Linked DNA regions of Neurospora crassa OR74A. The protein of the gene in region 7 binds, or shares a complex with, the protein of the main gene of each other region. Links are inferred from orthologs where the notes say so. Each region holds a gene or a part of one and is shown on either strand. Other genes may lie near its edges.

The links.
Region 1: NCU07832 (region 7) and NCU03778 share a complex: the UniProt entries of both Saccharomyces cerevisiae proteins name them as parts of the U4/U6-U5 tri-snRNP complex. The link is inferred for Neurospora crassa OR74A from reciprocal best matches to the Saccharomyces cerevisiae genes PRP8 and SMD2.
Region 2: NCU07832 (region 7) and NCU03625 share a complex: the UniProt entries of both Saccharomyces cerevisiae proteins name them as parts of the U4/U6-U5 tri-snRNP complex. The link is inferred for Neurospora crassa OR74A from reciprocal best matches to the Saccharomyces cerevisiae genes PRP8 and SMD3.
Region 3: NCU07832 (region 7) and NCU09880 share a complex: the UniProt entries of both Saccharomyces cerevisiae proteins name them as parts of the U4/U6-U5 tri-snRNP complex. The link is inferred for Neurospora crassa OR74A from reciprocal best matches to the Saccharomyces cerevisiae genes PRP8 and SMX2.
Region 4: NCU07832 (region 7) and NCU11251 share a complex: the UniProt entries of both Saccharomyces cerevisiae proteins name them as parts of the U4/U6-U5 tri-snRNP complex. The link is inferred for Neurospora crassa OR74A from reciprocal best matches to the Saccharomyces cerevisiae genes PRP8 and PRP4.
Region 5: NCU07832 (region 7) and NCU06354 share a complex: the UniProt entries of both Saccharomyces cerevisiae proteins name them as parts of the U4/U6-U5 tri-snRNP complex. The link is inferred for Neurospora crassa OR74A from reciprocal best matches to the Saccharomyces cerevisiae genes PRP8 and SME1.
Region 6: NCU07832 (region 7) and NCU01614 share a complex: the UniProt entries of both Saccharomyces cerevisiae proteins name them as parts of the U4/U6-U5 tri-snRNP complex. The link is inferred for Neurospora crassa OR74A from reciprocal best matches to the Saccharomyces cerevisiae genes PRP8 and SMX3.

What each region holds. Positions count from the first base shown.
Region 1 is NC_026505.1:2,382,785-2,385,902, forward strand, and holds NCU03778 (small nuclear ribonucleoprotein Sm D2), read left to right. Parts: upstream 1-1,148; 5' UTR 1,149-1,360; coding exon 1,361-1,386; intron 1,387-1,485; coding exon 1,486-1,518; intron 1,519-1,666; coding exon 1,667-1,718; intron 1,719-1,795; coding exon 1,796-2,001; intron 2,002-2,086; coding exon 2,087-2,129; 3' UTR 2,130-2,618; downstream 2,619-3,118. Other genes in the region: NCU03777 (mitochondrial 3-hydroxyisobutyryl-CoA hydrolase), read right to left, coding at 1-199, 274-396; dak-1 (dihydroxyacetone kinase 1), read right to left, coding at 2,702-3,118. UniProt on the Saccharomyces cerevisiae protein: Plays a role in pre-mRNA splicing as a core component of the spliceosomal U1, U2, U4 and U5 small nuclear ribonucleoproteins (snRNPs), the building blocks of the spliceosome.
Region 2 is NC_026505.1:1,887,150-1,890,904, forward strand, and holds NCU03625 (small nuclear ribonucleoprotein Sm D3), read right to left. Parts: upstream 2,460-3,755; 5' UTR 2,276-2,459; coding exon 2,228-2,275; intron 2,157-2,227; coding exon 2,096-2,156; intron 2,008-2,095; coding exon 1,878-2,007; intron 1,744-1,877; coding exon 1,632-1,743; 3' UTR 501-1,631; downstream 1-500. Other genes in the region: NCU03624 (hypothetical protein), read left to right, coding at 1-466. UniProt on the Saccharomyces cerevisiae protein: Plays a role in pre-mRNA splicing as a core component of the spliceosomal U1, U2, U4 and U5 small nuclear ribonucleoproteins (snRNPs), the building blocks of the spliceosome. Also binds telomerase RNA and is required for its accumulation.
Region 3 is NC_026501.1:6,357,876-6,361,630, forward strand, and holds NCU09880 (small nuclear ribonucleoprotein SmG), read right to left. Parts: upstream 2,391-3,755; 5' UTR 2,277-2,390; coding exon 2,247-2,276; intron 2,106-2,246; coding exon 2,034-2,105; intron 1,975-2,033; coding exon 1,900-1,974; intron 1,841-1,899; coding exon 1,760-1,840; 3' UTR 1,442-1,759; coding exon of another isoform or gene 1,248-1,441; 3' UTR 1,130-1,247; coding exon of another isoform or gene 805-1,129; 3' UTR 501-804; downstream 1-500. Other genes in the region: NCU09881 (hypothetical protein), read left to right, coding at 1-12; NCU10125 (hypothetical protein), read left to right, coding at 805-1,129, 1,248-1,441; NCU09879 (hypothetical protein), read left to right, coding at 2,720-2,822, 2,922-3,755. UniProt on the Saccharomyces cerevisiae protein: Plays a role in pre-mRNA splicing as a core component of the spliceosomal U1, U2, U4 and U5 small nuclear ribonucleoproteins (snRNPs), the building blocks of the spliceosome.
Region 4 is NC_026501.1:4,871,908-4,875,911, forward strand, and holds NCU11251 (pre-mRNA splicing factor), read right to left. Parts: upstream 2,578-4,004; 5' UTR 2,421-2,577; coding exon 2,376-2,420; intron 2,312-2,375; exon of another isoform or gene 2,288-2,311; coding exon 2,254-2,287; intron 2,199-2,253; coding exon 697-2,198; 3' UTR 501-696; downstream 1-500. Other genes in the region: stk-11 (serine/threonine-protein kinase psk1, variant), read left to right, coding at 4,002-4,004. UniProt on the Saccharomyces cerevisiae protein: Involved in RNA splicing. Is required for the association of U4/U6 snRNP with U5 snRNP in an early step of spliceosome assembly.
Region 5 is NC_026504.1:2,807,307-2,810,027, reverse strand, and holds NCU06354 (small nuclear ribonucleoprotein E), read right to left. Parts: upstream 1,579-2,721; 5' UTR 1,410-1,578; coding exon 1,269-1,409; intron 1,205-1,268; coding exon 1,178-1,204; intron 1,123-1,177; coding exon 1,054-1,122; intron 984-1,053; coding exon 930-983; 3' UTR 672-929; downstream 1-671. Other genes in the region: NCU06353 (hypothetical protein), read left to right, coding at 34-671; NCU06355 (karyopherin), read left to right, coding at 2,348-2,476, 2,559-2,648. UniProt on the Saccharomyces cerevisiae protein: Involved in pre-mRNA splicing. Binds and is required for the stability of snRNA U1, U2, U4 and U5 which contain a highly conserved structural motif called the Sm binding site. Involved in cap modification.
Region 6 is NC_026502.1:2,951,593-2,955,151, reverse strand, and holds NCU01614 (hypothetical protein), read right to left. Parts: upstream 2,181-3,559; 5' UTR 1,870-2,180; coding exon 1,762-1,869; intron 1,560-1,761; coding exon 1,468-1,559; intron 1,358-1,467; coding exon 1,285-1,357; 3' UTR 501-1,284; downstream 1-500. Other genes in the region: pp-2 (protein arginine N-methyltransferase HSL7), read left to right, coding at 1-46, 153-335; NCU01615 (hypothetical protein), read right to left, coding at 2,606-3,559. UniProt on the Saccharomyces cerevisiae protein: Plays a role in pre-mRNA splicing as a core component of the spliceosomal U1, U2, U4 and U5 small nuclear ribonucleoproteins (snRNPs), the building blocks of the spliceosome.
Region 7 is NC_026503.1:1,010,087-1,012,836, forward strand, and holds part of NCU07832 (pre-mRNA processing splicing factor 8), read left to right. Parts: coding exon 1-2,168; intron 2,169-2,245; coding exon 2,246-2,750. UniProt on the Saccharomyces cerevisiae protein: Functions as a scaffold that mediates the ordered assembly of spliceosomal proteins and snRNAs. Required for association of BRR2 with the spliceosomal U5 snRNP, and the subsequent assembly of the U4/U6-U5 tri-snRNP complex.

The DNA.
Region 1 (3,118 bases), on a different chromosome or scaffold from region 7:
TGACGTTGGCCATATCGGAGCGTTCCCATTCGAGGAGACGGGGCGCGATCTTGCGGATCATGGAGCCATTGAGGGCGTTGTACTTGGCTGGGCGGTTGAGCTCGACGGAGCGGAGATTATATAGACTGTTGAAGAGGACATCCTCGGGCTCGTCACCCTCGACGGGCTTGAACAACTCGGCGGCGGCTTGGGTCGAGATCTGGGAGGAGGGGGCGGCGAGCGTGTTAGCTGTGTCCGTGTCCATGGCTTTTGTCTTCCCAAGGAGCGTCTTACTGGGGCCTGCTGGCCCAGGACTTTGGCTCTGAGCGGCATCGCGGTGAAGCTTGGTCGGCAGCTGCGAGAAGCAACAGCAGAAGCCAAGCCGGCGCGGCTGGCAATGGACTTGGAGACCAACATCGATGTACACTTCGGTAATTGGCTGGCTGGCTGGCTTTGTCTAGAATAGGAATGGAATAACAAGACCCAGGGTCAATATGGAAGAAAAATACTAAGTCCAAAATCCACCCCGAGGCTGTTTAGCACCGTTGTTGCATCATAGACCGGCCAAGGGACTCGGGCACTTTTTTTCGGGACTCGTTTTCCTGGGCTGGGAAAGGGAAAACGGGAGAACAATCACCAATGATCTGAATGCCGCGTGGATGCAGGAACCGTGATAAGTGATAGCGAGAGTATCTGCAAATCCACTTTTTGCTGGAATTCAACGCGAAATGGAGCTCCAGCTTCAATTGATTTTCAAGGGCACCGCGCCTGGCAATCCCCGGGGCGGGGTTAGGTACGGGGGAGCTAATACATAGTGTAGAGGTAGCTGTGGAACCTGCCGAATCCCCGCCGCTATCGCTAGAAGCTGGAATATCCTCCGGCCGATGATACCTCTATCCATTCAAACTTGTCATTTTCCAGAAGCGACGCTCGGGCCCTCCGCTCACTGGAAACCCGATGTCCCGGCTGTCCGGGGGAGCATGTCGGGTTCGGCGGGGCTGGCAGCACCTGTCACCGGAGCGGTCCTCAGCCTTTCGCATTGGGATCCACCGTGAGCTTGTCATCCAATCGCCAAACTTTGAAGACGGTTCTGTTCCCAGAAAAGCTTGGCGCGTGTGCTGTAGCTGCTCCACGCTCCGAGTCGCCGCCGCGCCTGGCCCTCCGCTGCTGCAACATTTCCCGTCGTGGATTGAAGATAGCGATAGCATCCATTACAGCAACTATTGTCCAGGCTTCTACCGTACACCACCAACCCATACCACGCGAAGCAACCACTCGACGTCAACAACCATTTTTGATACAAAGACAAAACTACAACTCATTTGCCCCTCCTACATTTCAGTACCACTCCAATTCAACTCTAGACCAAAACACCATCGTCATGGCTTCAGCGGATGCAAAGATTCAGTCAGTAGCTATCCCACTCTCCAGCATCAACCCATGTGCGCGGGCAGCCCATGGACGCTTCAAGGAAACCAACTTGACTAACAACTGTCTACTATACAGGGAGCTTCTCACGAAGCCGCGCAATGAGCTTACGTACGTTATATCCTCTTGTCAACATCACCTCCCTCTGTTACCATCGTCATCTCGCCCGCCCTGCTGCTCCCAGCTCCTCCTCTTTGCGACCCAAGACCACGACGCCCGCCCAGCCAAATCACAAAGCTAACCAACTCGTCTGATACAGTGAATACGAAGTTTCTCTCCTCGAAGAGCACGAGTTCTCCGCCGGTCCTCTGGTACATATGCCCCATAAGCCTTGATCTACCACCCCTTCGACACGGAGCAGCGACTAATATGACACCCTTTTTGGCAGTCCATCCTCCAGACCGCCGTCCGCAGCCACTCCCAAGTCCTCATTTCCGTCCGCAATGGGCGCAAGATCCTTGCGCGCGTCAAGGCTTTCGATCGCCACATGAACATGGTGCTGGAGAACGTCAAGGAGATGTGGACCGAGACGCCCCGACTGGCCAATGGCAAGAAGGGCAAGCCCGTAAACAAGGACAGGTTTATCAGCAAGATGTTTGTGCACTTCCTTTTCATCTGTTGTTTCTCTCGCCCAGGAGAAGCGAAGATCAATGGCTGACATGTTTCACTTTCCTGGCAGGTTCCTGAGAGGCGACTCCGTCATCCTTGTCCTCCTCAGCTAGTTCACGAATAGCACGGCAAAATGTATAGGTTGGAGGTTTATTTCACTTGCACGGCGAAGACACGCGCCAGCACAACTTAGGGTTAATGGCTCGAATGGAGTGGGGATGAGCCCGGGAAGGGTACCTATTGTTGGTCGACTGAATCGAGAGACATGCGGACTATATCACCTTACTACTACTCAACCGCTCGATCGACCATGATGACGACACAACCACGAAAGCAATTCAAAACGCCCCGTGAAAAGGCGCCGCGCAGGAACGAGAGGAAAGAAGAGAAACCCAAGCAGATTTTCAGGGGCTATTAGGAAGGTCATACAAAGGGAAAACTAGTGTGAGCTCGGCGTTCAAACGTGTATTTGGTTTTGTTTAACTTTTTATCTTTCATTTCTGGTAACTTGATCGAACAGAATACCCAGACCGTGTTTAGGTTTTCGCAGACGCGGTCATGTTTTCTCGTGCTTTTTAACGACAAGCAACGGGATGATTTGTATTGGTGTTCCTGGTACGTCATTGAAATGGTGGTGCAAACTAACTACCTAGGGGTATATCGAGATCACATACAGCACCAATTCTTACGGCAATTCCGCCTCTCTTGTAACCTCCTCCCATCCATCATCCGATCCCTTGGCCTGCTTAGCACTGGAATCATCAGCCTTTTCAATTCCAGCCAGTCCAAGGAAGAACTTGGCCAATCCCCAAGCGCCCGGATCCGGCACCTGCTCGAATCCGGACCCGCCAATGTAGACGGTGCGGCCCAACTTGGCCTTCATACCCTTGGTGCCCTCAGCTCCCTGCTTGGCAGCCTCGGCCGCCTTCTTCACATCACCGGTCTTTTCGAGCGCATCGACAAAGGGATAGAGGGCATCAACCAGGGTGCGGTCACCGGGACGAGCGGGCGTGTACTTGGACAGGGCCTCACAGCTCAGTTTGAGGGCTGCGGCCCAGGCATTTTCATCAGCAGCTTTCTTGTCCGACTCCCCTCCACCGAC
Region 2 (3,755 bases), on a different chromosome or scaffold from region 7:
TGCTACTACTGCTGCTACTACGGAATCAGAGACCAAGGGAAATTGGCCTGCGCATATCCCCTTCACAAGAAACTATCTACTAGCGGAAACTGTTCCGGCCCTGCAAGCACTGGCGCAGAAGCTCGTGCTACAGTCATCAACATTAGCGGGAGCCACCACGGCACTCGGCGGCATGTCCTGGCTCTCTGGATTCGGAATATATGAGTGTGGAGCCGTCGCCGCCTTGGGTATTGTTTTGAGTTTGAGGGGCTTGCAGAAAAGGTGGGAGAGGGCGAGAGATTTCTGGGAGGGCGAGGTTCGTGAGGAAGGACGCAAGGCTATTCGCGCAACCGAAGCCAGCATTGCCGAGGTGCTGGATAGCGTTTCTCCTGAAGTTCCCGAGGATGTGGCGGTTGAGATTGAGGAGCTGAAGGAGGCCAAGAGTGTCCTCAAGCGGGCCGAGGAAGCGCTTGCGAGGCTGAAGTAGAAATGATGGGTTGCAACAGATGTTTAGAAGGACATTCTGCAAACCGAACTTGGTCAGTTTCGGACTTCTTGTGCTTATTATTTTCCACAGCCCTCTCGCCCTGCCTGTTAGTCCCTTAGGTGGGTGTTTTGACAATATGCCCTCTCCAACTCAACCCTTAAACAGCCAGTTGTATATTTAGTCTACACGATTCACTCTCACTCAGAGCATTGTTGCAAGCTCGTCTTATGCGAGCCTCACATATAGGGACAGGCGGGTTAGAACCGGCGGACGCAACAGATCAACCAGGGCTACACTCTTATGTACCATTAAAAAAGCAAGCCGAAGTGGGAGTAAAAAGGGGGCATCGGACTTTTGTGGTAGATATCAAAAACTGTCAGCGTAGGCTGAAGATGGAATGGGTTGTGTGTACAACAACATAATAGACAAAGACGTTGAATACGTACCCTGTCTATATCAGAACCAGGGCTAGTAGGAGTTTCGCTTTCGGTGCGATTCGATCCATGCTGTATGTGCTCGCTCCTTGGCCAAGGACTCAACTGGGGGGAGACCTGAGGCTGGCTGAACACCTGGTTCGCTCTGGCTGCTAACCGTGATGAAGCCAGGTTTTCGTTGCGTGCTGACGGACGGGTAGCGGCTGTTGCATCGACCGACCATTATCGTCCAGCTGGCGGAGCGTGAAAACCCCTGGATACGCCACGCTTCTCCCATGATCATCATTTGGCAGCAGATGGATGAGCGGGGCCAGCTGGCGTCCTCCATATCACTCCTCATCGAGGCTCTCAACCCTCCAATCCCAGCCCCAGCACTCACTCCAGTCCCTTCTCATCTCTGGCCGGCCTTGAGCCACCCTCCTCCCTATCCCTCCTGTTCCTCCTTCTCTGGGCATCCAAAGCTTGCCCCCCACACTTTTCTCTTTCCATCCAACTCGCTGCCCCCCATTTTCGGTAGAAAGAAGATCAAAGTTTGCTTTATTGGTTCCCCCCACCCAAAACGCCTAAAATATCAAAATAGCGGTTGTCGTTGCGCGCGGAAAAAAAAAAGGAGCCATAATATGCCGATTATTGTGCCCCAATATTGCATTCCGTTGTGAAATTTTCAATGATTCTCGGTCTGGGTCTGGTCTTGGTCGATGAGTCTGACGACAGGCGGCGCTCGCTGTCTTCTATCTGGCGCCGCCACGACCACCGGCGCGCGCCCTACTGACTGTCGCACGACCGCGGGCGAGACCGACACCGCGGCCGCGGACGTTGCGGGAGCGGAACATGGGGGCGTTTCTGTATGGGAACACAAAAAAAAGAGGAGGAGGAAATGATTAGCTTGGGTCCTATCCGACTTATTGGGTAGGTAGGGGGCAACTGGGGAGAAGAATCGCAACGGATGAGTTGGTGGTGGCCTGGTTTGAACGTACCTCAACATATCCGGCACAATAAAGAATCGCACATGACTGCCGCGGATGTAGACTTGTTCGAGATGGCTGACGCGCCCGTCGCGGGCTGTGACGGTGATGTCCTTGAGTTGGACGTTCATGTTGTCCTCGGCTGTTTTGCGGGGGAGCGCATTGGTTAGCATGGCTGGCCAGTTTAGAGGAGTGAATGGGAATGAAGAGTTCATGGGGGTTAGCAGTACCTTCGATAAGCTTGCCACGGTAGGTCTGGCCGGAGGTGATCTCGAGAGTGACGATATGGCCCTGTGGGACAGGAGTGGTTGGTTAGCTTTTGGCAGCACTACAGTCTGTGCATAGCAATGGTGTTTACTTACCTGAGCCTCATTGAGGAGCTTGATGGGGATACCAATTGTGGAAGTCATGTTGGCGGCTGTGTTATTACGTGGTGAGGTTGGTTGGCGATGTGGAGGGGCGAACTGATCTTTCTTGGTGTTGGTTTTAGAGATTACCTAGATGGTATGCCGTAAGTACAGGCGACTTGGTTCGCGATGATAGTGGATGCGATCAGTTGCCTTTGACGTGAACGCGGCAGCCCTGTCAGCCCGGTGCTGCTGGGAATTTCGTCGGAGAGCTTAGTTGATCTTGTCAGCTGCAAGACAGCTGCCAGATCTCACGGTACGTACCGCGCATTGAGGTCCTACACTACAAGGAAGTGTGGAGGCTTCCCCACACGCCTCTTCTGCGCTGTCCCCACATTCAGTGAACTGGTGGTCTTCGGTCATCCAAAACCTCGTCATCGTCACTGACATAAACCTTCTTTCTTCAACCCATTGGCAGTAAGTGGAATTTACCGGCCTGCTGTCATACGCTTGTACTCAATCAAAGTATGAACTGTCTGGTTCAGCACCCCGAACGCCGTTATCGCTCAACTTTCCTGGCTCATGTTCCGAGTCGTCGCATGATGGCGGCCGTCACGGGGATGGGATTGTCCAACGCATTGAACACAGCATCCCCAACCTTTTTCTCAATGAGGCCTTCTTCGATGTTCTATACGCTGAATTATGTGAGGTCCTTCGGTTCTCAATTCACCCTTGTCCCCGAATATTGGACAGTCACTCCCCTCCCGCTTTGCCCCATACCACCAGCCAACCGTTGACGAGCAACTCCCACATTCTCGACGGCCTCGTCTAGCCATTGCCTATCAGCCAAGGACGGGACGTGATACAGGACAGAAAACGCCCCTCGACGTTCTCCAGACTTCCTCGCGCCCCGAGAGATGCCGTACCCGGGTCCTTCTGCATCATGCTACTACATACATGCCTCCATCCTCGCTCCCTGTCGGCCACGACCACGGCTTGCACGGCTACGTAGTCCAGCGAGTAAGGGGCCATCTGGCCTTGTCCCATTTTCAAAACGCAGTGACGGGCTGGCCAAGTGGGCCGCCGGCCAATTGCTGTGTTGTCAGCTTGATGCCCAAACCCTATGATCAAACCCCACGAACCGCCCCGGCACCGCTGAATGGGCGAGGCAACTAACCGTCTCAACCTCGAGCTGCGGCAGGTGGGTTTGGCGTGGACTGATCTTCCATAGCACTGGCTGTTATAGGCTGCATGCATGTGCATCGAGAGACCATGATCTGTGTGCGTCTGCTCCTCCGTCTTGGTTGCTCCGAGTTCTCGGTCTTTTCTCTCCACCTTCTTTGTTATCTCGCTGTGTGAGCTGGATCGTGTGGTGATGGTGCGGTACTAGCAAGCTTTGACAAGCTCGACGGCAGCTCCGGTTGCATCCCACCTCCCACCATCATGTCCTCGTCTTTGCCCTGATTGGACGTCTCACCACTCTCCAGGAGGTGTCTGCCAACTTCTAGCGCTGGACGCTACATGACATCTCAGTTCCGAGTGG
Region 3 (3,755 bases), on a different chromosome or scaffold from region 7:
TATGATGAATGAATGGAACAACGAAGCGAGCACAGACTGATTTGGGAGATGTGGGCATTCTTTGGTGGAAGTTACGCCGTGACGTATAAATCAGAATAGCTCTCAGGTGTCGCTGGGCTGTTGGAGGGAGCGTCTTGCTACTGTATACCTTATAAACGCCGTGGTTTAACCTTTTATCAATCTTCCATACAACGACATGTATATTGATTGGTGCGCTTTGTCGCAGGTGTCCTGGTGCTGCAACTTACACACCTCAACAATTCGTTATGTGATATCCCCCTATATGCCGGGCCGAGTAAACCAAGATGTCGGAGCTATCAGTTATCTACGGGTAAATGGCGAGGGGCATGAATATGGGTAATAAGAAAAATAACATGCTCATGGTTACTAAATTGCATAGAAGCGACGAGACCAGGCAGTATGTCGCGTTGATGAGCTGGTGAAGAAATCATCTTGTCGTCCCCCCTTAGCCGCGATCTCCTGAAAAACTCCATGGAGTAATAGGATAGGAAGGACTACCTCCGGATGCGGTATCCCATCTACGGCATCAGAGGATCCGATCGTACGAGACAAGTGATTTATGATAGGACGTGACTGCCGAGGACATGTCCCGCGAGATGAGTATTGGCGGCGTGGCTTGCTGAAAGATGTGACTAGATCTCAGAGCCGCCCCAATCCAGTGTGGCAAACAAAGAGTTTACCCCTGACTGCCCTTCATATACCGGACAATGCATCAACGGTACATTTCTTCCGCTTAACCTAAGAAATCAGTCAATGAGAAACCAACTCAGCAACGGCCTCAACATGACGATACACGTTCACGAACACTGCTTGCGCATGGCTAGGCGCGAGGATGGTACACCGTGGTGGGCAGCATTTCCAGAGCCAACTTCGACGCCGGTCCATATCGAGCCCCAGACTGTCCTCGAGCTTCTTGAGCAGCAAGAACATGTCGATGACATGCCCCAATCGCGCAGATTGCTGCTTGTCGATTGTCGCCGGACAGACTGCGCCGGGGGAACTGTCAGCTCATCAATCAACCTGCCCGCCCACAGCTTCTTCCCCACGCGCAAGAGCTTGTACGCTTTGTGCAAACAGGCCGGGATCCAAAAGGTGGTCTTCTATTGTGGTACGTGTTTGACTTTCTCTGTCATTGACTCTTGGGACAGAGTCCAATCAATCCTATGCTCTTTTGAACTCGTACCTCTACCGCCGACCCTCTCTAACACCGATGCTTCTTCCCCCAGGCTCCTCCGCTGGTCGGGGCCCTCGATGTGCCGCCTGGATGCAAGACTATATCAACGAAGTAGGCGGCGATCTTCAGTCGCAGGTCATGACGGGCGGGATTCGAGGCTGGGTGCGGATGTACGGCGACCGCATGGTGGACGGTTATGACGAGAAGACGTGGAAGCAGCTGTTGTCGGAGAAGAGCTGTACGTGATGAAAAACAAAAAAATCCTTTGGGTATCTTTTCTTCGACCACCGCCGCAGATGTTTCCCTTTCTAAGTTGAAGATAATGCAGCTTTCCCGAATACATGCCTCGTGTGAAACTGAACGCCGTACCAGCCAACCCACCTAGCTTTTCACCGTCCAAGACCGCGTGGAACACTGTAGATGTCGTCGTAAAGTGTAAATCGCCTTGGTATATAGTCAAATCCCGTCAATTGCCATCCGCTTATTCCGATGCCTCGCCTTTTGATGTAGGCGTTTGTAGATGCGCAGGGTCGTTTTATCGTGTTGCGAGAAGATGATTGTTGATTAGCCGCGCTGTCCTCCCCTCTCATCGCCGCCGATTCTCTCGAGAGCCTCCATCATCACAACGGAGTTACCACGAATGGTCTGTGTGCACATTCGTCAGCAGGAGACACGTCAGCACCTTTCTACAATGATAAACATACCACCATGCCAAGCTTGACCTTCTCACCACCATCCTTCTCCTCAACAGCATCGTCCAAAACAATGTTCAAGAAGACCTATGACGTCGCGAACCGTCAATCATCATGTTCGAATTCGTAAAGGGGAGATCTCGTACATCGTAGCCACGGAGAACACCAATGACCTTGCGGCTGCCGTTGAGTTGGACGAAGAGCCTCTTGTCGAGGTACTGGTTGGAAAGTGGTCGGTTAGCTCACTACACCATACTAAACAAACAATAACATGGAGTTCGAGATGCGACAATGGCATAGTCTCGACCAGCCAGCTGCCATTCAGCGTGAAAGGCAATTCTCCAAGAGTAAGTTCTTACCTTCTTCAGTTCAGGTTGTGCGGGCGCCATTGTATCTTGAGGTTGTGTTGGTTGTCTGGGATGGTCTCGAGAGAGTTGCTGCAATGAATGGCAATGGCGTCGTTCTGGCTGGGAACTCTCCACTGAAACAACCTGGAAGGCGGGCCTTGTGCAGCGCGTGCAATCGCGACCATCCCCAGTGATTTTCGGCCGCCAGGCCATCACGTGGGGACACTGATAAGATAAGAAACCGCAATTCGCGTTGCCCGTCTTTGGGTGATTGCAGTGTTCAGTGCAGTGGTGACATCCAGTCGCCCACCAGCGTCATTCTCCAGGGTGCATTTCGAAGCTTCCTAGCTGTCTGGACACCTTTTTGCACTACAAACTTACCTGTAAACAACACGCCCGCCTCAATACTACATCACTGTATTACAAACTCCCTGTCAGACAACCTACTTCCATTCTACACTTTACTCAAGTCGATCATCACAAAAATGAGCTCTTTTGGAAAGCGCAAGCCACGCATTATCCAGACCTTTGACGATGAGGATGGCGACCTTCCTACGGTGCTTGGAGGAGAGGAGCCGAAGAACGAACGTAAGTTGCTATATGGCCATGCCCATCCCTTTCCAGCATAGAAAATCTCAGTGCTGATACCAAACCAAAGAACAAGCAAGCTGATACGCCTTCGAACAGAACCAGTACCGCAAGGACCGACCAAGTTTGGGCGCAGCAAGCCTACTAAATCTTCGTCACTACGAAGAACGATCAAGATCAACGACGGTAACGATAATCCACAAGAAACCAGCGGCGACGCAATCCAACCTACGTCAACCAGCACAAGTACGGCACCCGAGGTAACAGAAGCCGAGGAGGACACTGGTGTGCCGCTCGTAGTACGGCCCGGTTTCGGCCGCTCAGTCTCCAGCAAGAAGAAGCGCATCTCAAAACTATCATTCGGAGCCAGCGAGGGCGACACGGAAGATGGCGGCAATGATACGACAACAACTGCCAGCAGCGACGTGGTCAGCGCCCCAAGCAAAAAGTCGCTGAGCCAACGAGTTGCCGAGAAGAACGCGCTTCGCAAGTCCGCCCTGACCGCACGATTCGGCACATTTGGCGCCGACGAAGAGAAGCCTCGGTACAGCAAAGAATACCTTGAAGAACTCCAAAGCTCCACGCCAGCCACACCACAGAATCTCGCCTCGCTAAGCATCATCGACGACGATGACGACGACAGCCTCAAAACCCACAGCGCACCGTTGCCGGAGGCATCTGCCGCGCCCGGGACAACGGGCGACGCCATGGACCTCGACCCCTCTGAGCTTGACGGCGCCATGATTGTTCAATCCCGCGACATGCCCCTAGCGCTCACTGGCGATGCCCCAGCAGCCCATGTCCTCACCGAAGCCGAGATCCGCGAGCGCAAAGAGCGGCGCGCGCGCCTTGCCAAGGAACACGATTTCATCGCACTCGACGATAGTGACCACTCCGACAACGACGACCGAAAACGCATCACGTTGAGTCTCA
Region 4 (4,004 bases), on a different chromosome or scaffold from region 7:
TTCCCAAATAAGCGAATCCTCCCCGTGTCGCCCTTCAGACAGCTTTGAGCGGGTTGATGCGCATGGGGACTTGAGCTGCCCGGATGCTGTGAGTTGAGGGTATTGTGAATGACGTCTCTCGCGATAAATACCGGCTGGGGATAAAACCACTTGAAAATGCAGAAATGCGAGAAACGAAGAAGTCAAAGGTTCGAAAACGGACCAACGCTACAAGTTCCCGGTGATGGCGTCTGCTGCCATTGTTTTATCGCCCTTTATCAGAAAGCCAAGCTTCGCACGATGGACCGTGCGTCACCATTTCCCAGGGTGCCAGGGTGACTTTACCAACGCCAACCAACGCGAGCGGCAGGTGTCCCGCCCAACCCTGCCCGCGTCACTGCAGAAAAGAAGGGAGAAGGAATCTCAACAGGCCCACTTTCGCGGTCAGGTGACACCCCTTATCCTTACCGGGTCAGTGAAACGCAACCACAAGGCAACTCAGACGCATGTACCAAAGGCAGCTTGTTATGGGCACCCAGTTGTGGTTGTTGATCTACAAATTGAGACGGCTTCTATGCAATCTATCTGCCGATACTGTCTCTCGTGGAGCGGTAAGCCAAGCCCTGGCCTGTCGCTTGCTGAACGCCCTCCTTGGTGTGTTGCTCCTATGCGAGAGGCAACGACAAGATTCTTGTCGCGCACATGATTGATGTCTGCTCAGGAATCATACAAGCTCCTGGAGTCGTTTCTTCCCCAAAGTTTGACCGTCCGGTCATGGCCACCGCTTACAATCCATTTTCCATCCCGGCTAACGTCAACACTCGCAACAGGCCCTGTGTGGCCGCTGAGAGACTGAACCAAGGCCCAGTCGTCAGCGGAAAATATGTTCACCTTGTGGTCAAAGCCTGCCGACACCATAAAGGTGCCGGATTTTTTGGGAATTTGCATTCCCTTTTCATCTTCGCCAGGAGGCACTCCTTCCAACGGGTCATCCAACCCCTTGAACCACCGCACGTCGGCCACTGCACTTGTATGGGCACCAATGCCTCCAATTCTTTCCACTTTTCTAACGTCCCAGCATTTGATCCAACCATCAGCAGACGCCGTGAGCACCCTGTAACCGTCCGAGCCCCAGTCCAAACCATAAATAGGCTTGATATGGCCGTCCTGATGCCCATCTAGAATCATGGCAGTCCGTCCTGTCCGCAGATCCCAGATTCTTCCGATACTGTCCAAACCCGCGCTAGCGAGTAGCGATCCGTCACTGTTATAACTGACAGCGTATACACCGCGAGAGTGACCTTCCTGGAGAAGGAGCTCGGTGCCGGTTTCAACATCCCACATCCTCCATGACGTGTCTTCTGAGGCAGAAGCCAGATACTTGCCCGATGGATGGAACTCTACACGACATACTCGTTGCGAGTGTCCTGAGAGAGTTCTCAAAGGCGTGTCTTGGTTCAAAGACCAGAGATGAATCTGGCCTTCCGCTCCTCCGGAAGCGAGATTGACTGTGTCGGGAGAAACATTGCGCTCCGGCAGTGTAGCTCCAGGCATCCAGCATAGGCCGCTGACTTTGTTGGTGTGGCCCCTCAAAGTCTTCCTTGGCTCAAGGGTTGGGATTTCGATGAGTTTGACCTGTCCGCCCCAATTGCCAGTTGCGACCATGTTTCCATCAGGCGAGATCCTTGTCATGCTGATGTGCCGCTCTCCTGCCGTTTGACTGCCTTGCAATTCAAACCCTTGAAGCTTCTCCTTGATCTCTTTTCGGTGTTTGACATGTGTCCGCAGTGGGATGGTGGACTCCTTCTTCTGGAACTCGATGCGCTTCTTAGCTCTCGGGATTGAGTAGTGAGCGATGTCGATGCGGGCCTGGAGCAGTTCCGGGCTTCCAGTAGTGTAAAATTCCTCCTCTTGGTCGCCGGCTTCATCTTCCTCGTTTTCGGCGTCCCGCATCTCCACATCGGCACTTTCCTGACCTCCCTTTTCGGCTTGTTGTGTCATGAGTTCTCGTAATCTGTCGCGTCTGTCTGCCGGACCCTCGCCGAAGAGGGTGACAGGCTCGCCCATCTCTCGCAATTTGGCTCGTACCCGGCCATCGTCGGTAGGAACAGCAATCGAAGCCGCTAATCGTTTTCGTTCAAACTGCGATAGAAGAACGGAGGCCTTCTCTGGGGCAATACCAGCCCCAGCACCGGGGATGTCGTAGTCGCGATCGAGGGCTAACACGCAAATCAGTCATGGGTTGGAAGCCATACAAGAGTTTTGGGGACTTACGGACGGAGTCTAGATCCATGCCTCCGCGATCCTGCTTCAGGGGGGGTCAGTCCGGGCTCTGTTTGCAATGTTGAGCAGGTGCCTTCAATGATGCGAGGGGCGCATATAGAGCATGGTCTTACCTCAGGCTCGGCCTCCTCCACGTAGGCTCTACGCGCCGGATGCATAGTGCTAAACTTTCGGTGTTTGTTCGTTTGCTAAATCTTCTGGACACTTGAACGCGAGTAAAGCCAGGTGATTCGAGTCCGGCTTGTGGTTGCTAAAGGACCGTTTGATGTGAGGGCTCGATGTTTTGCTTGCTGTCGTGAAATAGCAGGTGATGCAATCACAGGGAAGTTTACAATGCTGGCGCCGTTGCTGTTGCGGGAGCTCCACTAAAATTTCCGGCGCATCTTCGACCCTAACCCTCAACAAGCTGTCCCACCTGAATGCGCTCATCTCGGTCCTAGCACCACGGGCACCTCGTCTTAAGGTGAACCAACGAATCGCCATGAAGCTTTCACCGATCATTCAAAGAGGTACTTGAAATTTCAAAGTTTCATGTGATATGTGATAGATTCCTTGTTGGTGTCAACATTCGTTAATACCCACTTCGCACACGGTAGGTTTGGTCCGAGGTGACATGGAAGCGCGATCACAAACGGTGCGGCCAGTTCCCCCTTCCCAGCCCGTCGATCAATGCGGTTTAATGACCGCCAATCGAGCCCCGGCTGTTCGGATTCCCCAGACTTGTCAAAACTGAAGATCGGGGTCGGCATCCAGCGGCCTTGGTACACTACACTACCTATACACACATGACACCTGCCGTGTGGTATTGGAGGTTCATTTCTGGACATGGAGAGCAACATGGGGCTTTTTTCAGGTTGAAAGCTAGTGTGGAAAAAGCCTGGAAAATGGCCGATGGTGCATTCCCTTTAATGCGGGTGAGACGTATGTCTGATGTCTCTCACCCGATTTTCACGTGCTCTCGCCAATTCCTCCTGGGACATGGAACGCCCGCCAATTCCTCCTTTTCCTTTAAGTTCACCAGACCAATCCAGCTGGTCTTTCCGCCCTTTCAGTTGCTCGCCTGCCCGGCCTGCCCGGCCTGCCCAGACCGTGACGCATGATGTGAACGCTTTTCTCTTTATCGTGGTTGGCTCAATGGCGGGATATTTGGGTGAGGCGGACGCGGCCCCCTGCCCGGCTAGTGCATTCCAGTCCCTAGGGGTACTAAATTGTGCATAGGTAATACCCAAGGTCACAAACCCGGTCCAGGCCCATCCTAATTCACTGCAGGTGCAGAGTCCGGGCTCCATTTTATTTTAACTTCTGCTGCCCACGGAACTCCATTTCATTGTTGCCATTGTCGACCTCTCTCTTCGCACGCTCCCCCAGTCACAACTCTCTTCTTTTTTCTCTTTTCTGTTTTTTTTCTCTTTCTCTCTCTCCTTCTTGACAGTAAAAACCACATCTCATCGAGCCTTTCCACCCTCAATGCATATCGAGAAGACCGTCGACGACAATTCCACTTCCTTCTTCAAGTACCAGATGCGTGCGATTCCAAGCCATCAAGGACCCAGTTTGACCACCGAACACCGCGCAGACGCTCAGCGACGCAGAGGCGAGCCTTGAATACGAAGGCCGACAGAGGCTTTGAGGGATCGTATCTGTCAAGCTATAACGAGAGCTATCTGGTCCACCGATTATAGTCCATTATACCGACACGACACCATCCTACTGCTAGCCCATCAACGACTACGACCAAGATG
Region 5 (2,721 bases), on a different chromosome or scaffold from region 7:
TACTGCCAGCGCAGACTAAATCCGCAATTGCAGGTTCTGTGGTCTTCAACACTCTGAGGAACTTCAAGCCCTACGTAGACGCCAAACGGGTCAGCGTGTTCCTGTCCATGCCCACGGGCGAGATCCAGACCGATGGCATCGTCAGGCACGCTCTAGAGTCCGGCAAGGAGGTTTTCATCCCGTATCTTCACAAGAACCCTCTGGCCTCGCCCAACCTCCCAGCCCGCGTCATGGACATGGTCCGCCTCAGAGATCTTCACGACTATGAGTCCCTCAAGCCAGACAGATGGGGCATTCCCAGCATCGACCCGGCCACGGTCCATGAGCGGCAGAGGGTGTTTGGAGGTCCCGACGCCCACCACTCCGACCAAACCCTGCTTGACTTGATCCTCATGCCCGGCGTGGCCTTCGACATTGACCCGGAAGCTGGGGCCATCAGACGGCTCGGACACGGCAAAGGCTTCTACGACTACTTCATCAACCGGCACAACCAAAAGTCTGTCGAGCTGGGGAAGCAGGAAACCCCTGTATTGCTTTATGGCTTAGCGCTGTCTGAGCAGTTTCTATCCTCTCCATCCGAGGGGTCGGTACCTGTTGGTCGCCACGATCAACCTCTGGACGGCCTGATACTCGGAAATGGCGAGATTAAGAGCCCTCCTGCACCCAAATAGTTCCATGACCTGATATCCATCCCGTACTGCCTTCCTTTGATCAAATACATATAGTCGACATTCCTGTGCGCCTCGGCCAATCGCTTTTCCCTGGTATCTCTTTCGTAGATTCGGTGTCGTTTGTTGTGTAGAAGGCCACGCACCACATCTTTGTGGGCCGTCTATGTACAGCTTTAGATCTGCTGGCTCGTCGCTCGATGTAGGTCCCAGCGTAAATTGCATCGTCGATTACCGCTTCTCCTTCAGGTTTGGAGCTCTTCACCCGGAGTAGCTCTGGATGAGCGAGACATTGTCGCCCTTCAGGAGGATTTGCTGCGACCCAGTTAGCCACCCTTTCCACTGCCACAACAACATCGACGTCCAGCCCTAAACATATTCTTACCCCAAGCTCCCTCCTCTCCTCCGTCTCGTTTGTCTTGGAGACCAGCTTGACCTCAATCGCATTGTCGATCTGTGGAAATGGGGTTAGGTCTCGTAGTGCTAGTGGGACATGCGCCGCTACTCACCACCAGGTTCATGAACTCGTCGAAGCCCTGTAAGACGGAATTGTCAGCACCTATGTTTGCTCTTCGGGGAGGTCACGATGGAGAATCCTACACGAATGGTGCCGATGATGCGAATGTGAAGCTGCTCGTACAGCCAGATTTGGACGGTCGAGTGTTGTTGCAAAAGACGGAAGAGGAAGTTGATGGGAGGAAGAAGAACACGGCGGTTGCCGCCACCACCTCTGCCGGTCATGTTGAGAATAAAAGTTTGTTGTGGTTTGGTCGTTTGGCCGGTGTTTAGGACAGAAGTTTGATGGTGATGTGGAGGCTGAACAAGTAAGTCGCAATCAAGTTGTGGATGGTCGTTGTTGGTCGGCTGGGCTTGGCTTGCAGTTGTTCCCAGACGCGTTCTCTCTACGGCCGGGACGTGACTTCAATGAATTTCCCCCGAATGTCGAATTGCCTGCCTGTCTGTCTCTGGCGTGTGGAGCTCTTGTTTTCACAAGCACCTCCCGCCGGGGACGGGACGGGAGCTGCTCAGCTGGTCTGTGCACTTAGTTACATGCTGCTGGGCCCACAGCGTCGTGTCATAACCTCTTGGCATTCAGCTCAATTCACTTTTTCCGAGCTGCTTGGGTTCTCAAGCCACAGAATCTTCAGTTTGGGGTAGCATGAGCCCCTCCCGCTTGTCCCACTTATGGCGGTGCAGGATGTGCTTCCACTTTCTTTGACCCGCTTGCCCGCCGCCGTTTACTCCACTCGCGGTCGGTCGGTGTCAGGCAGCCTGACGTTCTTCGATTGTTGGCGGGATGTTTTTCAATCGTCGTTTCTTTGGACGCTCAAGAGCAAATCGTCGCCGGCAACCTCCAACTTGCAGCAATCCTGTCACCACGGCGGCACCGTACAATACCTCCCAGTCCTTTATTCTTGCAACCTCTCTGGAGCTTCATATACCCCGTGCGCATCGCAGCTCCTCGCCTTTACAACAACATATCCTGAAAGCTTCCATCGCGTCGCAAGACCGATAAGTCGGACAACACTCCTGTCGAATAGGAGGGGCTGATCCATCCACTTTGCGACCTGCGATACCCCAGCGATAGCTTCCACTTGCAACACCGCATCGCAACACTTGCCATCACAACACTTGTATTCGAGCTAAATCACATCATACACAATCCGAAGCTGCCCAACATGGCTTCCAACGGCGCCACAGACGGCTTCACCACCCCAAATGTCCTGCAGGCCATGCTGACGATGCGGAGTGGTGACTCCGGTTCCAAGAAGGCCGCCATGGACTACCTGCAAAAGTTTCAGAAGTCGGTCAGTTGGGCTTTCAGCTCCTTCGACGCCAACACACCTATGGTTCGCATGTGACTAACCCGCATTTCTCAATCGACCGTAGAACGAGGCCTGGACTACCACAATATCGATCTTGCAGGGCTCTCCCGAAGCCGAGGCGCAACTCTTCGCAGCAACGACACTGAAGGGCAAGGTACTTACAGATACCCATTGGATCACGACGATACCGCTACGCTTGTATGTCGCGCACCGCTGACATTCACGAT
Region 6 (3,559 bases), on a different chromosome or scaffold from region 7:
GAGCAAGGACATGATTTCCTGGTTCCCGATTTTCTTCCCTCTTAGGGTGAGTTTTTATCTCTTCTTCCTTCATTTCTTGTTTTTCTTGACTTTTCGCTCCTCGCTCCTGCTTTGGTGACGATTACTGACCCTGTTTCTTCGACGATACATAGCAACCCCTCTACTTCCCTCAGGACACCGAGCTAGAAGTCAGCATGTGGCGCCAGACCGACGACACCAGGGTGTGGTACGAGTGGATGGTTGAAGTGTATGCTTGGGTGGGTCCCAAGACCCGTATCAAGGTTGGCGCTTCTGAGATGCATAGCAGTCGTAAGGTTGCCTGCATTTTTGGTTAGAAGAGAGGAAATGTAAAAACGGAGGTAACTAGGTACCAGTAGGTGGTGGGCAAGGCTGGCTAGGTCGGGTGTTAGGAGTGTGTAAGTATGCAGCTGTAACAAACGCTGCGAGGAAAAGGTCAAAAGTCTTGTTTTAGCGAAAGAATAAAAGATTCGAAGTCAAATGGTGGATAGAATGTTCATAATTGGGAAGGCGCGCGATGTGTATGATGATGGTGACTGTCTTTGCCTGTAGTCGTGTGATGTATAGGCAAGTGGAAGTTGAGACTAACAGAAATTCACGCCGCTCGTTCTCTTTTTCTTTCAGTTGAAATAATACCTGGAAACCAGACGCCATGTCCGCATGTCTAACTCAACCCGCCACTTCCTTTTCTTTGCTCAGTACCTAGATGATGTGTGGTCTTGACAGATTTTTGTTTCTTTCTTTCCTGTTAAGCTGAGTATTGTTCCAACATCTTATTTTAGCCTTTATCTTCAAGGAAAGGCCAGATGGCACATGCTCCTTTGACGGTCTTGCGCAGGAGATGCAACGAAGGTCTCTACCAGACAGAGAGACGCTCGGTACCCATCCATCCATCCATCCACCGTTCACTCTCTCTTGAAGCAAATCCGCCCTTCCGTACCACTCTCCACACCATGCGCGCCCGATATCATCAAAGCTGTTGTCGCACCTTTCGTGAAGCGCACACTTTCATCATTGGGAAACGAGTTTTCGGCGAGCGGGTGCGTTGTGGTTTGTGCTTCGGTTCGGCTCGGTTTGGTTTGGTCGGTAGAGTAGATCCATCTCTTCTTCTTCTTCTTTTTTCCTCCCAGGGTATTATAGTCGGAACATCACGACCCTCCCTCCTCACACATTCCTCCTGTCTGTTCTGCAAATCGCGCCCTTCACCACCCTGCCCGCTAGTCTAGGCTACCCTTTCATTTCCTCCTCCTGGTGGCGAGAGAACTTTCACTCTTCCATCTTGACGTCGCCACTTGTTTCCGCCTCGTCGGCCTTCTTGATGTAGAGAACGTTGTTACACCTATTGTTGAAGTCCATAATGTCAGCATCCCGGCTAGTTGATACGAGATGGGGGATTGGGTCGTCCGTATGGAAAGCCGTAGCAGTGGGATGTATTCAGTATGGACGTACCTGATCAGAACCTGCCCCAAGGCGCCCGTAAACTTGCGGTTGATGTACTCCTTTGTGTCGCTGAGCTGAATGTTCATGTAGCTATCGATGCTCTGTTGTTCACATGCACACACGCATTTCGTCAGCCTCTCTCTCTTTGTTCTTCCTTCGTTGCTCCTTGGTCCTGCCTGCTGGTTTCCCCCTCCCCTCCCCTCCCCATCGCTTCCCACAGCTGTGTATGCCAAGACCAAAGTCCAGCGGCAAAGGGAAGGCTAGATTGGAAGAAAGATGCTGGATATGTATATATATACGTACAACAAGACGGCCAACATACTCCGTCTCTCCCCACTTCAAGCGGATCGTCACAAAGCTGTTGACGAGATCTTGAAGGAAGGGACGGGGGTTAACTGGGACAAAAGACATGTTGTCGGTTTCGGTTCGAAGGGTTGGTTCTTGGTCAAGTGCGTGGCGCCTTGTGTGTGTATTCACAGGCTTGCTGTTGTTGTTGTTGTTGTTGTCGTCGATGGGACGGCTCGAAAGTTGGATTCGCGATTCGGCTTGGTGCTAATGGAATTTTGTATTTGTCGGTTTTCTTAGATGTGTAAGAGTGGGTTGTGGTCGGGTGGACGCAACAAGGTCGAGGTTATGGTTATGAAAAGTTGGGAAGAGAGATGGGATTGGCGTTGATGCTATGATGGAAGAAGCTCCAACTGGGACTGTGCCTCCAATGCTGGACCTTTGCGGCGTTGGAGTAGCGCGACGATGGAAGTTCCTCTGTTACGAGGGACATGTGGAGCCCTAACGCGATAGCTGATTGGACGTGGCAATAAGCCTGTCTGATTAGTAGATTACAGGGTTAGGGTTGGTGGCTAGAGGATACTTGATGTTGTTGACAGCGACGATGATGAGCATCACCAAGACCTTTATGGCGATCCTTTTGCTTATCATTACTCAGGTACATAGCTTAGTGTATTCTTTCACTTCTTCACTCAAGTTTACCTGGTGACATCTCTCCCTGATTATTTCCGATGCCCACTTACACCTTCAGGTCAAGACCCTCGAAGACGCCGATGTTTTGAAACGAAATGGAAGGGGACTGTTCAGGACCTGACAGGAAGTCATTTTGAATTAATAAAGTCCCATACTGGGTGAAGATATTTTACTCAATCTCCTCAATCCTAGGTCTACCGCCGAACATCTCAACACCGCCACTACTTCCACCACTATCATCACCACCATGGGAAACCGACCTCTCCGGGTCGACAACCAACCCAGCCAGCTTCGTTAACCCACCACCACCGAACCCTCCTCCTCTTGCCTGGCTCAACGACACTTCATCCACCAAGCTATTCGTCTTCCAATTCTCCAAGCTCTCCAGCACATCCCGACAATACTCCCTGACCAACCCATCCTCGTCCGTCTGCTCCACATACCCCAAAATCGTCCTCAGCTGCTCCTGCGTCTCACTCCCAAACGCAATCCCCAACACCCTCCCCTCGTGCTTCGCCTCGTCCATGGCCTTGATAAAGCTCATAATCAGCCTCACCGCCGCCCTCCTGAGTATCCCCTTCTCCAGCTGCCGCTCTACCTGCACAACATTAATGCACAGATCCACGCTCGCCATCGTCAACACCGCCGCGACACCAACAATATTCGTCTCGATGCAATTCGCCAGAATTGACAACGCAGAGGCACGGATCCTTACATCCTCTTCACCCGTTTTGGAAGTACCAGACGACCACCCTTCTACAATCGCCTCCAAGATATCAAGCCTAGCCTGCTCCTCAGCAGAAATCGGATCCGCCATATCCGGCACGCTGCCGTCCCACGCGTCTTCGGCTTCTTTATGCTTCTGTTCCCGCGCCTTAGCCTCGCGCGCTTGGCGCGCCATGGTCTTGGGCCGATGCCCCCGGCGCGATGCCAGGCTGATCAGGGCTTCGCATGTCATCTTGGCTAGGTCGCCGGTGAAGGTCTGGCCCAGTCGGTCGACGACTTGGAGTAGGGCCTCGCCGAAGCGGAGGCGGGCGTCGACGGTCGCCAGGGCGGATTCGCGCGGGTCCAGGTAGCGGTCGATCAGGTCGGTGAGGACGGCGCGCGGGTGGGCGTTGGCTAG
Region 7 (2,750 bases):
TTCTGAGGAGGCTGTTGCCATTTACACTACTACGGTGCACTGGCTTGAATCGAGAAAATTCTCTCCCATCCCCTTCCCCAGTGTGTCTTACAAGCATGACACCAAGATCCTTATCTTGGCGCTGGAGCGCCTACGTGAGGCTTACTCGACCAAGGGAAGATTGAACCAGAGTCAGCGTGAGGAGTTGGCCTTGATTGAGCAGGCATATGACAGTCCAGGCACTACCCTCGAGCGTATCAAACGCTTCCTACTCACTCAAAGAGCTTTCAAGGAAGTCGGCATCGATATGAACGACAACTACAGCACCATCAACCCGGTCTATGATATTGAACCGATCGAGAAGATTAGCGATGCTTATCTCGACCAGTACTTGTGGTATCAAGCTGACCAGCGCCATCTGTTCCCCGCTTGGATTAAGCCTTCCGATTCGGAGGTGCCACCTTTGCTTGTGTACAAGTGGGCTCAAGGCATTAACAACCTCGACAGGGTTTGGGAGACCGCGAATGGCGAGTGCAATGTCATGATCGAGACGCAGCTCTCCAAGGTCTACGAGAAGATTGAGCTGACCTTGCTCAACTCGCTTCTTCGGTTGATAATGGACCACAACCTTGCGGACTACATCACGGCCAAGAATAACGTTACCCTAACTTACAAGGACATGAACCATGTCAACAGCTATGGTATGATTCGTGGCCTGCAGTTCTCAGCCTTCGTTTTCCAGTACTATGGTCTCATTCTCGATTTGCTGTTGCTTGGCCCGCAGCGTGCCAGCGAGATTGCCGGTCCTCCCCACGCACCCAATGACTTCCTTCAGTTCAAGGACCGGGAGACTGAAACAAGACACCCGATTAGGTTGTACACCAGGTACATCGACAAGATCTGGGTGTTCTTGAGGTTCACCGCGGATGAATCTCGCGACCTGATCCAGCGATTCTTGACAGAGCAGCCTGATCCCAACTTCGAGAACGTGATTGGTTACAAGAGCAAGAAGTGCTGGCCCAGAGATTCGCGTATGCGTCTCATGAGGCACGACGTCAACCTCGGCAGAGCTGTGTTCTGGGATCTCAAGAACCGCCTCCCAAGATCCGTGACGACGATTGAATGGGAAGACACCTTCGCCAGCGTGTACAGCAGGGATAACCCGAACCTCCTGTTCTCCATGTGCGGCTTCGAAGTGCGCATCTTGCCCAAGATCCGCAACCAGAACGATGAGTTCCCTGTGAAAGACAGTGTCTGGTCACTAGTGGACAACACGACCAAGGAACGCACCGCTCACGCTTTCCTACAAGTTACCGAAGAGGACATTCAGAAATTCAATAACAGGATCCGTCAGATTCTCATGTCGTCTGGCTCGACCACATTCACCAAGATTGCTAACAAGTGGAACACGGCGCTGATTGCCCTCTTTACTTACTACCGCGAGGCTGCTGTTTCGACCGTGAACCTGCTTGACACGATTGTCAAGTGTGAAACCAAAATCCAGACTCGTGTCAAAATTGGTCTCAACTCCAAGATGCCTTCCCGTTTCCCTCCTGCCGTTTTCTACACTCCCAAGGAGCTTGGTGGCTTGGGTATGATTTCCGGATCACACATCCTTATCCCTACTAGCGACAAGCGCTGGTCTAAACAGACAGATCTCGGAGTTACTCATTACCGTGCGGGCATGTCGCACGATGAGGAAACGCTGATCCCCAACATCTTCCGCTACATCATCCCGTGGGAAGCTGAGTTTATCGACTCCCAGCGTGTGTGGACGGAATACTCGCAGAAGCGTCTCGAGGCCAACCAGCAGAACCGCAGATTGACCCTAGAGGATCTGGAGGACAGCTGGGATCGCGGTCTGCCCCGTATAAACACTCTTTTTCAAAAGGACCGTAGCACGTTAAGCTTCGACAAGGGTTTCCGTGCCCGTTCCGAGTTCAAGATCTATCAGTTGATGAAGAGCAATCCCTTCTGGTGGACAAGCCAGAGGCATGACGGTAAACTTTGGAACCTTAACGCATACCGTACCGATGTCATCCAGGCGCTTGGTGGTGTCGAAACCATCTTGGAGCATACCTTGTTCAAGGCAACTGGTTTCCCGTCTTGGGAAGGTCTCTTCTGGGAGAAGGCCAGTGGTTTCGAGGAGTCGATGAAGTTCAAGAAGTTGACAAATGCCCAGAGGAGCGGTAAGTTCAACATACCATTTCTCTAGCATGAATTCATCATCATATGCACGCACAAATACTGACTTTGAAATACGCAGGTCTCAACCAGATTCCTAATCGTCGTTTCACGCTTTGGTGGTCGCCTACCATCAACAGAGCCAATGTCTACGTCGGTTTCCAAGTGCAGTTGGATCTAACTGGTATCTTCTTGCACGGCAAGATTCCTACTCTCAAGATCTCCCTGATCCAGATCTTCCGAGCTCATCTGTGGCAGAAGATCCACGAGTCAGTGGTCATGGATCTTTGCCAGGTCTTCGATCAGGAGCTTGAGGCTCTAAGCATCGAATCGGTTCAAAAGGAAACCATTCATCCCAGAAAATCTTACAAGATGAACAGCTCCTGCGCGGATATCCAGCTCTTTGCCAGCCACAAATGGAACGTTACTCGCCCATCGCTCCTTTTCGATACCAAGGATGTCATCGAGTCTACTACGACGAACAAGTTTTGGATTGATGTTCAGCTTCGCTATGGTGACTACGACTCTCACGATATTGAGAGATACGTCAGGGCCAAGTATCTGGACTACACCACCGACAGCATGAG